Linked DNA regions of Cricetulus griseus. The protein of the gene in region 1 purifies or fractionates together with the protein of each later gene. This does not show direct contact. Links are inferred from orthologs where the notes say so. Each region holds a gene or a part of one and is shown in the gene's direction. Other genes may lie near its edges.

What was found. The genes of interacting proteins can lie anywhere in the genome.
Region 2: the proteins of Patl1 (region 1) and Ddx6 purify together in Homo sapiens (affinity purification with mass spectrometry; 6 studies listed by BioGRID and IntAct, with this or other methods). This does not show direct contact. The link is inferred for Cricetulus griseus from reciprocal best matches to the Homo sapiens genes PATL1 and DDX6.

What each region holds. Positions count from the first base shown.
Region 1 is NC_048596.1:48,682,680-48,687,154, reverse strand, and holds part of Patl1 (protein PAT1 homolog 1), read left to right. Parts: intron 1-110; coding exon 111-305; intron 306-1,201; coding exon 1,202-1,303; intron 1,304-1,864; coding exon 1,865-1,954; intron 1,955-2,305; coding exon 2,306-2,523; intron 2,524-3,638; coding exon 3,639-3,728; intron 3,729-4,475. UniProt on the Homo sapiens protein: RNA-binding protein involved in deadenylation-dependent decapping of mRNAs, leading to the degradation of mRNAs. Acts as a scaffold protein that connects deadenylation and decapping machinery.
Region 2 is NC_048597.1:156,297,771-156,302,245, forward strand, and holds part of Ddx6 (probable ATP-dependent RNA helicase DDX6), read left to right. Parts: intron 1-968; coding exon 969-1,032; intron 1,033-2,209; coding exon 2,210-2,314; intron 2,315-4,475.

The sequences.
Region 1 (4,475 bases):
AATAAAAATTAAGATAGTTTCTCAAGGTATCTTTGGTATCTATAGAGACTATTAAAACATTACAAATTAGCTAATTTCTCTGTATGCTTTTTAACCACTTCCTCAATTAGGAAATGCCTACGGTGTCTGTATTAGAATATGCCTTGCCTCAGAGGCCCCCACAGGGCCCAGAAGATGATCGAGACCTTTCTGAGCGAGCTTTACCAAGGCGTTCTACATCACCTGTCATTGGAAGTCCTCCTGTTAGAGCCGTTCCTATAGGCACCCCACCTAAGCAGATGGCCGTTCCCAGCTTCAACCAACAGGTACCTTTCCTTAACGTACACAGCCCAAGATATTGGGAATCTGGGCAAAATTATTTGGGATACAGGGAGGAGGGTGGACATTGTGGGTAGGCATTAAAGAATAGCCAATTAGAGAAGAAGTTAGTACAAATGAGACACATTTCCCTAATACAATTGCTGCTGCTGCTTCTGATACCTTTTAACTGGGAGAGAAGAGAGTAGTTAGCCACATTAGTGCATATATCCTTTTTTAAGTGTTTTGCTGGCTGCCGGGTACATTAGCAGAAAGATAACTGAAAGCTGGGGGGAGTGGGAACACTCAGCATTGTCCACATCCCTTTTTACCTTTAAGATATCCCTGCTTTCCCTAGAGCCTGTGCAGTCCTGTTCCATAGACTTTCCTCCACCTGAAACCAGCAGCTGAAAAGGAAGGCCAATTTGGAAGGTATGGGGGGAGGGTGGTGTTGGTATGGCCTAGTTAGGCTCAATATCCTAAGAAATGGTGGAGTCACAATGTATCCCAACATTGCTGAGCATGGCGGCCATATCACTGAGGCTTCAGAATAAGGACTTAGTTAATCCTCCAGCTTTCTTATCATTCCTTGTCCCTCACTATAACCAAAATATATCCTCTTGGAGAAAATTTTCAAGTCAGAATGTCTGCTGGTACTTCCCTCAGATAGCATGGAAGGGTGGGGATACTGGAGAATTAGCTAAATCTTCCTCAGTTAAGATGAAACTGATTTGTGAGAGGAAATGACCAAAGGTTCAGTGTTTGAACCCATAGCCAGAGCAATTTGCTTAGAAATAGGGCTTTGCATTGAGTTCTGTGTCTCTACCAGTACTTGAGGGGAGGGAGTGTAGGAAGGCAAAAGACTGATTTCATTCAATGTAGTTGTGTATATTTGTCTTAATAGATTCTGTGTCCGAAGCCTGTTCATGTACGACCTCCGATGCCACCACGTTATCCTGCTCCCTATGGTGAGAGGATGTCTCCAAACCAGCTCTGCAGTGTCCCGGTATGTCACTTTACACATGTTTAATGTGAACTTCATGATCACCTTTAGTATGTAGTAGAGCTGACATTTCCTATATTATATGAATTTCTGGTAATCTCTCCTTGTTTTCTGGGGTTTGTGGTCCCAAGATCAAAGGACAAAAATTTACTGTTTTGTGCCACTTTAAGATTCTTTGCTCGACTGGGAATTACTGTATATGCCTGTAGTCCTAGCACTCAGTAGACTGAGGCAGAAGGATCCTTAATTCCAGGCAAGCCTGGTCTACATAGCGAGTGAGTTTCAGGCTACCAGCTTGAGCTACTTAGCAATACTCTCTCTCAACAAAAGGAAAAGCACACAAAGAATCTGTGTTCATTCCTATTTTCAGCTGCTTAAGTCTTTCATTCTAATGCTGTCTTTTTCTTGTTCTATGGAAGTAGTCTTTCATAATTTCTAGCCTTCTTTTCTGATACAAGGAAGTTTTTGCATCTAACTTTATGCTAAATTTATATTGAGTTTGCTTAATTTATTGATTTGCTTGATCCATAATATGAACATAATTTCTCTTTTCTGTGTCCTTAGAATTCGTCCCTTCTGGGCCACCCTTTTCCTCCTAGTGTTCCTCCTGTACTCAGTCCCCTGCAGAGAGCACAGCTTCTTGGAGGAGCACAGGTAAGCCTACAGTTAGCCATACCCATAAAGATGATCCTACTATCCTAAGAGTCATTGCTTGACACTGTTTTCTTTCACTGTTAGACACATCTCCCCACTCCCACCTCACCCCCACTTTGTTATCTCAAGTGGAGATATTAATGGAAATAGTATTTACCTTTTTGGTAGTGCATGCCTATAATACCAACACTTGGGAGGGGTTCTGTTAGGATCATGTATTTGAGACCAGCCAGGGCTACACAGGGAGTTTCCAAACAGCATGAAGTACATAATGAGACCCTGTCACAAAGGGAAGTGGGGCCTGTTGGAAATGCTAATTCTATTACATTAAAGATCTGTTCCTCTTTGCAGCTACAGCCTGGTCGTATGTCTCCCAGCCAGTTTGCACGAGTCCCTGGATTTGTTGGTAGCCCCCTGGCTGCCATGAATCCTAAGTTGCTACAAGGGCGAGTTGGACAGATACTTCCCCCAGCACCAGGCTTCCGTGCCTTCTTTAGTGCTCCACCCCCTGCTACACCCCCTCCCCAACAGCATCCTCCTGGCCCAGGACCTCACCTGCAAAACTTAAGGTATACAAAACATGCTTCTTGATCATTGTCAGCCAAGTCCATTTTAGTTTTATAGTGTGAAAGTTTCATTTCTCATTTAGTTTTATGATATAAAACTCTTGTGATACTTGCTAAGAAGTATAGTTCCTGGATCCCCAGGTTGTCAGAGAACTGCTTGAGTCTTCAGTTTCTACACTGTTCTCCGGAGTATCATGCTTCCTTTGCATTTGATAAATTAACTGCTTCTTTTACTTTTACTGGAGTTGCACTTCATACCCATTTTTTGAACATTCATGCAGTACAATGCACAGTGCTGATGACTGAAGAATTACCACAGTTGAGTAACAGATAGAAACAAAGGCCAAGAAGCTAGCTGATCTGAGTGCCAGCTGAGTTGCTGGTTTTATAAAGAGATAAACTTGGTTTCTGCTTTGGTAAAATTGTGTCATATTATGTAAATCGTGTCAGTTCATGTTCTGAAGAGAAACATCAATAGAAGATACATATAAGTGGAAAAAGTTAATTTTAATCCGAGGAACTGACTGGCAAATTGGAAATCCATTTAGTAGGCTAGAAACTTAAAGAGTCACATTGCAGTCTTGACCTTGAAGTATGTCAGCCATTAGACTAGAGACCCAGCAGAACATCATTTCCCATCTTGATACAGGTTTCTTCTCTGAGTAACTTCTCAGTTTTGGCTGTTGGGCCTCCCAGATTATGGAGGGCAATTTCTTAAAGTCAACTGATTGTAAATGTAAATCATGTCTATAAAATGTTTTCATAACAGTGTCTATACTAGAGTTTGGTTAAACTTGGGTATCATGGTTAGATTGACATGTAAAATAACTACCATACATAAAATTTCTATGTCATTCCCACAAAAAAATTGAAGCTAAATGAATTAACCCTGTTAGGAACAAAAAAAATTATACTGCTTACTACTAAAGCACTGAAGTAGTCCACTGAAAGAACCCTGAAGGTGTTTCATAGTCATCCAAGAAATTTAAAAATAACAGTTGGAATAAACTCTGGAAATCCCTTGAGTGAACCTTTGACATTATCCTGTATTGACAACCTTTTTTAAAATGAAGTCATCAAGATGAGATAACCAAGAACCATTTTCCTTTTTTTCTTAGACCTCAGGCCCCAATGTTTAGACCAGACACAACTCACCTTCATCCACAGCACCGGCGCCTGTTGCATCAGAGGCAGCAGCAGAGTAGAAAGTGAGTACTCTTCGCTCTCCTGACGTAAAGTCATGTTGACCTTAAGTCATAGTTAAAGTTGAGCTCTGACATTTATATCCCTTATCAAATTTATAATCACCATCTGAACTGCCTTTTTCTTTTGGTATTTCAAGACAGGGTTTCTATGTGGCTTTGGAGGCTGTCCTGGAACTTGATCTTGTAGACCAGGCTGGTCTTGAACTCAACAGAGATCTGCCTGCCTCTGCCTCAGACTCCCGAGTGCTGGGATTAAAGGCAAGCACCACCACCGCCCGGCTTAACTGCCTTTTTCTTTGTCTTCGAGTTTAGAAGTAATCTTAAAACACAGCAGCCAGCTCTAAATGTAGGTGTTATGTGAGCATAATGATAATTCTTTTCTTCACATTATTTCATCTTCATATAAATGTAAACACATTTTTGTATATACTGGCTGTGTGGCCAAACTGTGGCAGGCTTTGAAAACCAAAAACAGCAGGGTACATAAAGCCTCTCTGCCTTCAGTGTCTATATCAAGTCATTCTGTAATTATTTACCTAGATAAATTAAGGAAACTAGGTATAGCTGTAAGGGGTCTCAATGTCTGTTTTTTTGTTCTGTGTATAATTCCTTCTCACCTTCAAAAATTTCTATAATTTTGCAGGAGAGAAAAAGGAAACCAATGTTGACTTACACACAAAACTCCAAGTATAAGCTATATAGAGAAAGATTAACATATTTAACTGCATTAATGTATTAATACATTTAAAA
Region 2 (4,475 bases), on another chromosome or scaffold:
TTTTTTTTTTTTTTTTGGAGGCAGCCCAGACTGTCCTTCAAGTAGCTATGTAACAGGGGTAACCTTGAACTCCTAAACGTACTACTTCCACCTCCAAAGTGCTGGAATCACCTGGTGAATGTCATCGTGCCATCATTATATATGTTATTGATTTAGACACCCAGTTTGTATATGATAGTATAGAGGGTTGGGGAAGTAATTGGTGCGGCATCATGGAAGGAATAAGGAATAGAATCGAGACTTAACCCCTGTTAGAAACGTCAGGACTTGTGTGGTTTTGTATGGTGTGTTGAGTCACGGTCTTTCTGTTGTTCAGACTAGCCTGCAACTACCAGGCTCAGGTGGTCTTTCTGCCTCATTCTCCTGGGTAGCAGGGACTGCAGACACTCTTGGTTTTAACAAGAATCAGCTAGTTACCAGAAGTACAGGCTTGGATGACTATAGGGTACTGTGCTGATTTAGAAAGTACTTACTGTTTAAAAGCATCACCTGTTGATATTAAGTTCTGGTTACTAAGTAGCCCACTGGTAACTCCTTGGCTTTTCCAAGGACCTGGGTTCAATTCTTATCATTAAAAAAGAAAAAATAAAAAGTTGCAGTTACTGTTACGGTACAAGAACTTGAAACATTATTGCCAAAGTGTCTCTGAACTGTTGTGGATTTGGCATTTTTTCAAGAAAATCTAGAAACTGAGCCTTTACATGAAATCTAGATGTTAAATGTTTGTAGCTAATTAAAAAGACTAGTAGATCAGATAAGATGTGTTTGACAAACACTTGTACTAAGTTCATCCTCCTTAGATGATTTCTCAAAGAACATGTTTCCTGAAGTTAACACTTTTGTTAATTAAGTGCAGGGAATGTTAAACTTAAGTGCTTTTTAGAGAGGTAGTACTATTTGAAAGGTTTCATTTGTATTAACAGGGAAGCTATGAATTGTGACAACTATGTTTACTATATTCTCTCTAGACCTGGTGATGACTGGAAAAAGACTTTAAAACTCCCTCCAAAGGATCTAAGAATCAAAACTTCGGTAAGTTGGGTTGTAGAATTCAAAAATGGAAGGAAGGGGCAATTACAAGTAAAGTAATTGAATGAAATGACACCATGTGTTTAGTCCTTTTGTTATTTTTTGTTCTATTTTGAGAATAATGTCCTATATAGTCCAGGCTTACTATCAGTGTTCTCCTTCCTTAGTCTTATTAGTGCTGGGAGTATAGTTAGGTATGTCCCATCAGGCTAGCAACTAGATTTTATTTTTGAGCATCTTTAGTTTTTCAGATAGGGTTTCATTCACTATTTAGTAGAGGCAACATATATATTTAATCTTAAAGCAATTTGAAATGATTGAAACTGTATGGTTAATAGGTATTAGATTGCTTTAAAAATTCATATATATATATACATATATATATGTATATATATATATATTAAGAAATATGCTGGCTTGTGGGTGCCCATGCATGTGTGTTTGCATGCATATCTTTTTGTTTGTTTGTTTGGTTTTTGTTTTGTTGAGACAAGACTTCTGTGATTGCAGGCTGGCCTCAAACTTAGATCCACCTGCCTCTGCCTCCAGAGCTCTGGCATTAAAGGTGGACGCTACCCTACCACCCCACCCCCAGCTGCTATCTTTACCTAATTTTCTCAGTTTTTTTCCCCCTCAGCCTCTCAGTGCTATATTCAGGTTAGGTATTGTATCCACTATGTATGAATGTGTTCAGAGAAGTTCTTTATCCCAATATTCTCAACCAAGGGTGATTTTTGTGACACTTCTTGTAACAATAGCTAGAAGTATTTTTTGTTGCCAACTTGGGATCCTTATAAATAGCCTCAAAACACCAATGTCAGCCTGGCCACAAATGTCAAAGCTCTATGCTTGAGAAACCCAAAGACATAGCCAAAGATATTGGTAGCTAGTGAGTAGGGGAACTGGGGTTTTATTTCATATCTGTAGTTAATTGTATGTTATTTATGTAGAAATATTCTGCCTTAGACTGATCATAGGTGCTTTCCCCAAAGCTCCATCTTTAAGTGATGTATATTTGTTGAGTTACTCTCCAGGGAAAGTTGAAATAGAAATTAAAACAGTAGTAATATGCATTTTTAAGCTGAAGTGGATAAAGGGTTCAGGTCTGTTACTTTTTTTTAAAGCATGCTAACTATGAAAGAACCAGGGTTCCATTTTATTTTATTGTTTGTTTCATTAGGATGTGACTTCCACAAAAGGAAATGAATTTGAAGATTACTGTTTGAAACGGGAGTTGCTAATGGGAATTTTTGAAATGGGCTGGGAAAAGCCGTCTCCTATTCAGGTATGTTTACCCTTTTGGCTACATGAAGGTTATGTATCATGCATTATACACTTCAGCAAACATTAAAATACTCATTTTATAACTGGGCAGTGAACTCAGAAGGCAGAGGCAGGCAGATAGATCTCTCTGAGTTCCAGTTCTTGGTCTAGAGTGACAGGACTACAGAGACCCTGTCTTGACAAGAAAAAAAATTACATGGATGGGTGTTTTGTCTGCATATTTGTCTAGTACCTCTAGAAGCAAGAAGGGAGGGCCTCAGACCCCCTAGAACTAGAGTTAACGATGGTTGTGAGTGAAGCTACCTGAGATAACCTGTGAAGATGGTTCGATACTCTCTCGACCCAGAAAACCCTACAAAATCATGCAAGTCAAGAGGTTCAAATCTCCGGGTTCACTTTAAGAATACCTGTGAAACTGCCCAGGCCATCAAGGGTATGCATATCCGAAAAGCCACCAAATACCTGAAAGATATCACATTGAAGAAGCAATGTGTGCCATCCCAGCAATACAATGGTGGAATCAGCAGGCGCCCAGGCCTGGGGCTGGACACAGGGTCGGTGGCCGAAAAAGAGTGCTGAATTTTTGCTGCACATGCTTAAAAATGCAGAGAGTAATGCTGAGCTTAAGGGTCTAGACTTAGATTCTCTGGTCATTGAACACATCAGGTGAACAAAGCACCTAAGATGCGTCGACGAATTTACAGAGCTCACGGCGGATTAGCCCATTCATGAGCTCCCCCTGCCACATCGAATGATCCTCACGGAAAAGGAACAGATTGTTCCAAAGCCAGAAGAGGAGGTTGCACAGAAGAGAAAGATATCCCAGAAGAAATTGAAGAAACAAAACTTACGGCACGGGAATAAATTCAGCATAAAATAAATGCAGATAAAAGTTAAAAAAAAAAAAAAAAAAGATGGTTGTGAGCCACCATGCTGGGAATTGAAATGCGTTCCCTGGAAGCATAACCGGTATTCCTAACTGTTGAGATATGTCTTTAGTCCCTACTTGATTTTTTTGACGTGTGGGAATAGTGTAATGTGTGTTTGTATACAGTATTTTTCTGTACTTTTAGTGTTTTTTTTTTTTTTATACAGGGCAGCTTCTAGTCCATAGTAGCCTCAAATTAAAAGTTAGCTGAAGCTGGCCTTTGAGCTCTTGTTACCTCAGCCTCTCAAGTCTAGGATTACAGGCAAGCATCACCATTCAGTTTTGTTTTGTTTTTTTCCTTTTTGGTTTTTCGAGACAGGGTTTCTCTGTGGGTTTGGAGACTGTCCTAGCTCTTGTAGACCAAGCTGGTCTCGAACTCACAGAGATCCTCCTGCCTCTGCCTCCCGAGTGCTTGGATTAAAGGCATGCGCCACCAATGCCCGGCTCATTCTCAGTTTTTTCTTGAACTTTATATATCTTTTTTTATGTGCATTGCTGTTTTGCCTGCATGTGTGTCTTTGAGGGATTGGATCCTAGAGTCACAAGCAGCTATGACCTGTCATGTGGGTTGCTGGGAATTGAACCCAATTCCTCTGGAAAAGTAGTCAGGACTCTTAACAGCCATCTCTCCAGTCCCTTTCTTGAACCTTTTGGGGTTGTTTGTTTGTTTGTTTGAGACAGGGTTTCTCTGTGGCTTTGGAGGCTGTCCTGGAACTAGCTTTTGTAGACCAGGCTGGTCTGGAACTCACAGAGATCCACCTGCCTCTGCCTCCCGAGTGCTGGGGACTAAAAGCATTCACTGCCGCCGCCGCCTCCTGGCCATCTTGAACTTTTACAGGTTAAATTATAGAATCACTTCATTAACTTGTGAGTCTCTTGGTGTATATTTCCTAAGAATAGGGATTGTGTGTGTTGTGAGCTTTTTTGTTGTTGTTGCTTGGTGGTTTCAATGTTTATTTTTATATTTTATGTTTTTTGTTTTGTTTTGTTTTTGGATTTTCAAGACAGGGTTTCTCTGGCTTTGGAGGCTGACCTGGAACTAGCTCTTGTAGACCAGTCTGGTCTCGAACTCACAGAGATCCACCTGCCTCTTCCTCCTGAGTGCTGGGATTAAAGGCGTGTGCCACCAACGCCCAGTGTGTTTTTGTTTTTTGGTTGTTGTTTTTTTCCCCTTCTCTCTGTGTAATAGCCTTGCCTGTCCTGGAACTCTATCTCTCTGTAAACCAGGCTGGGA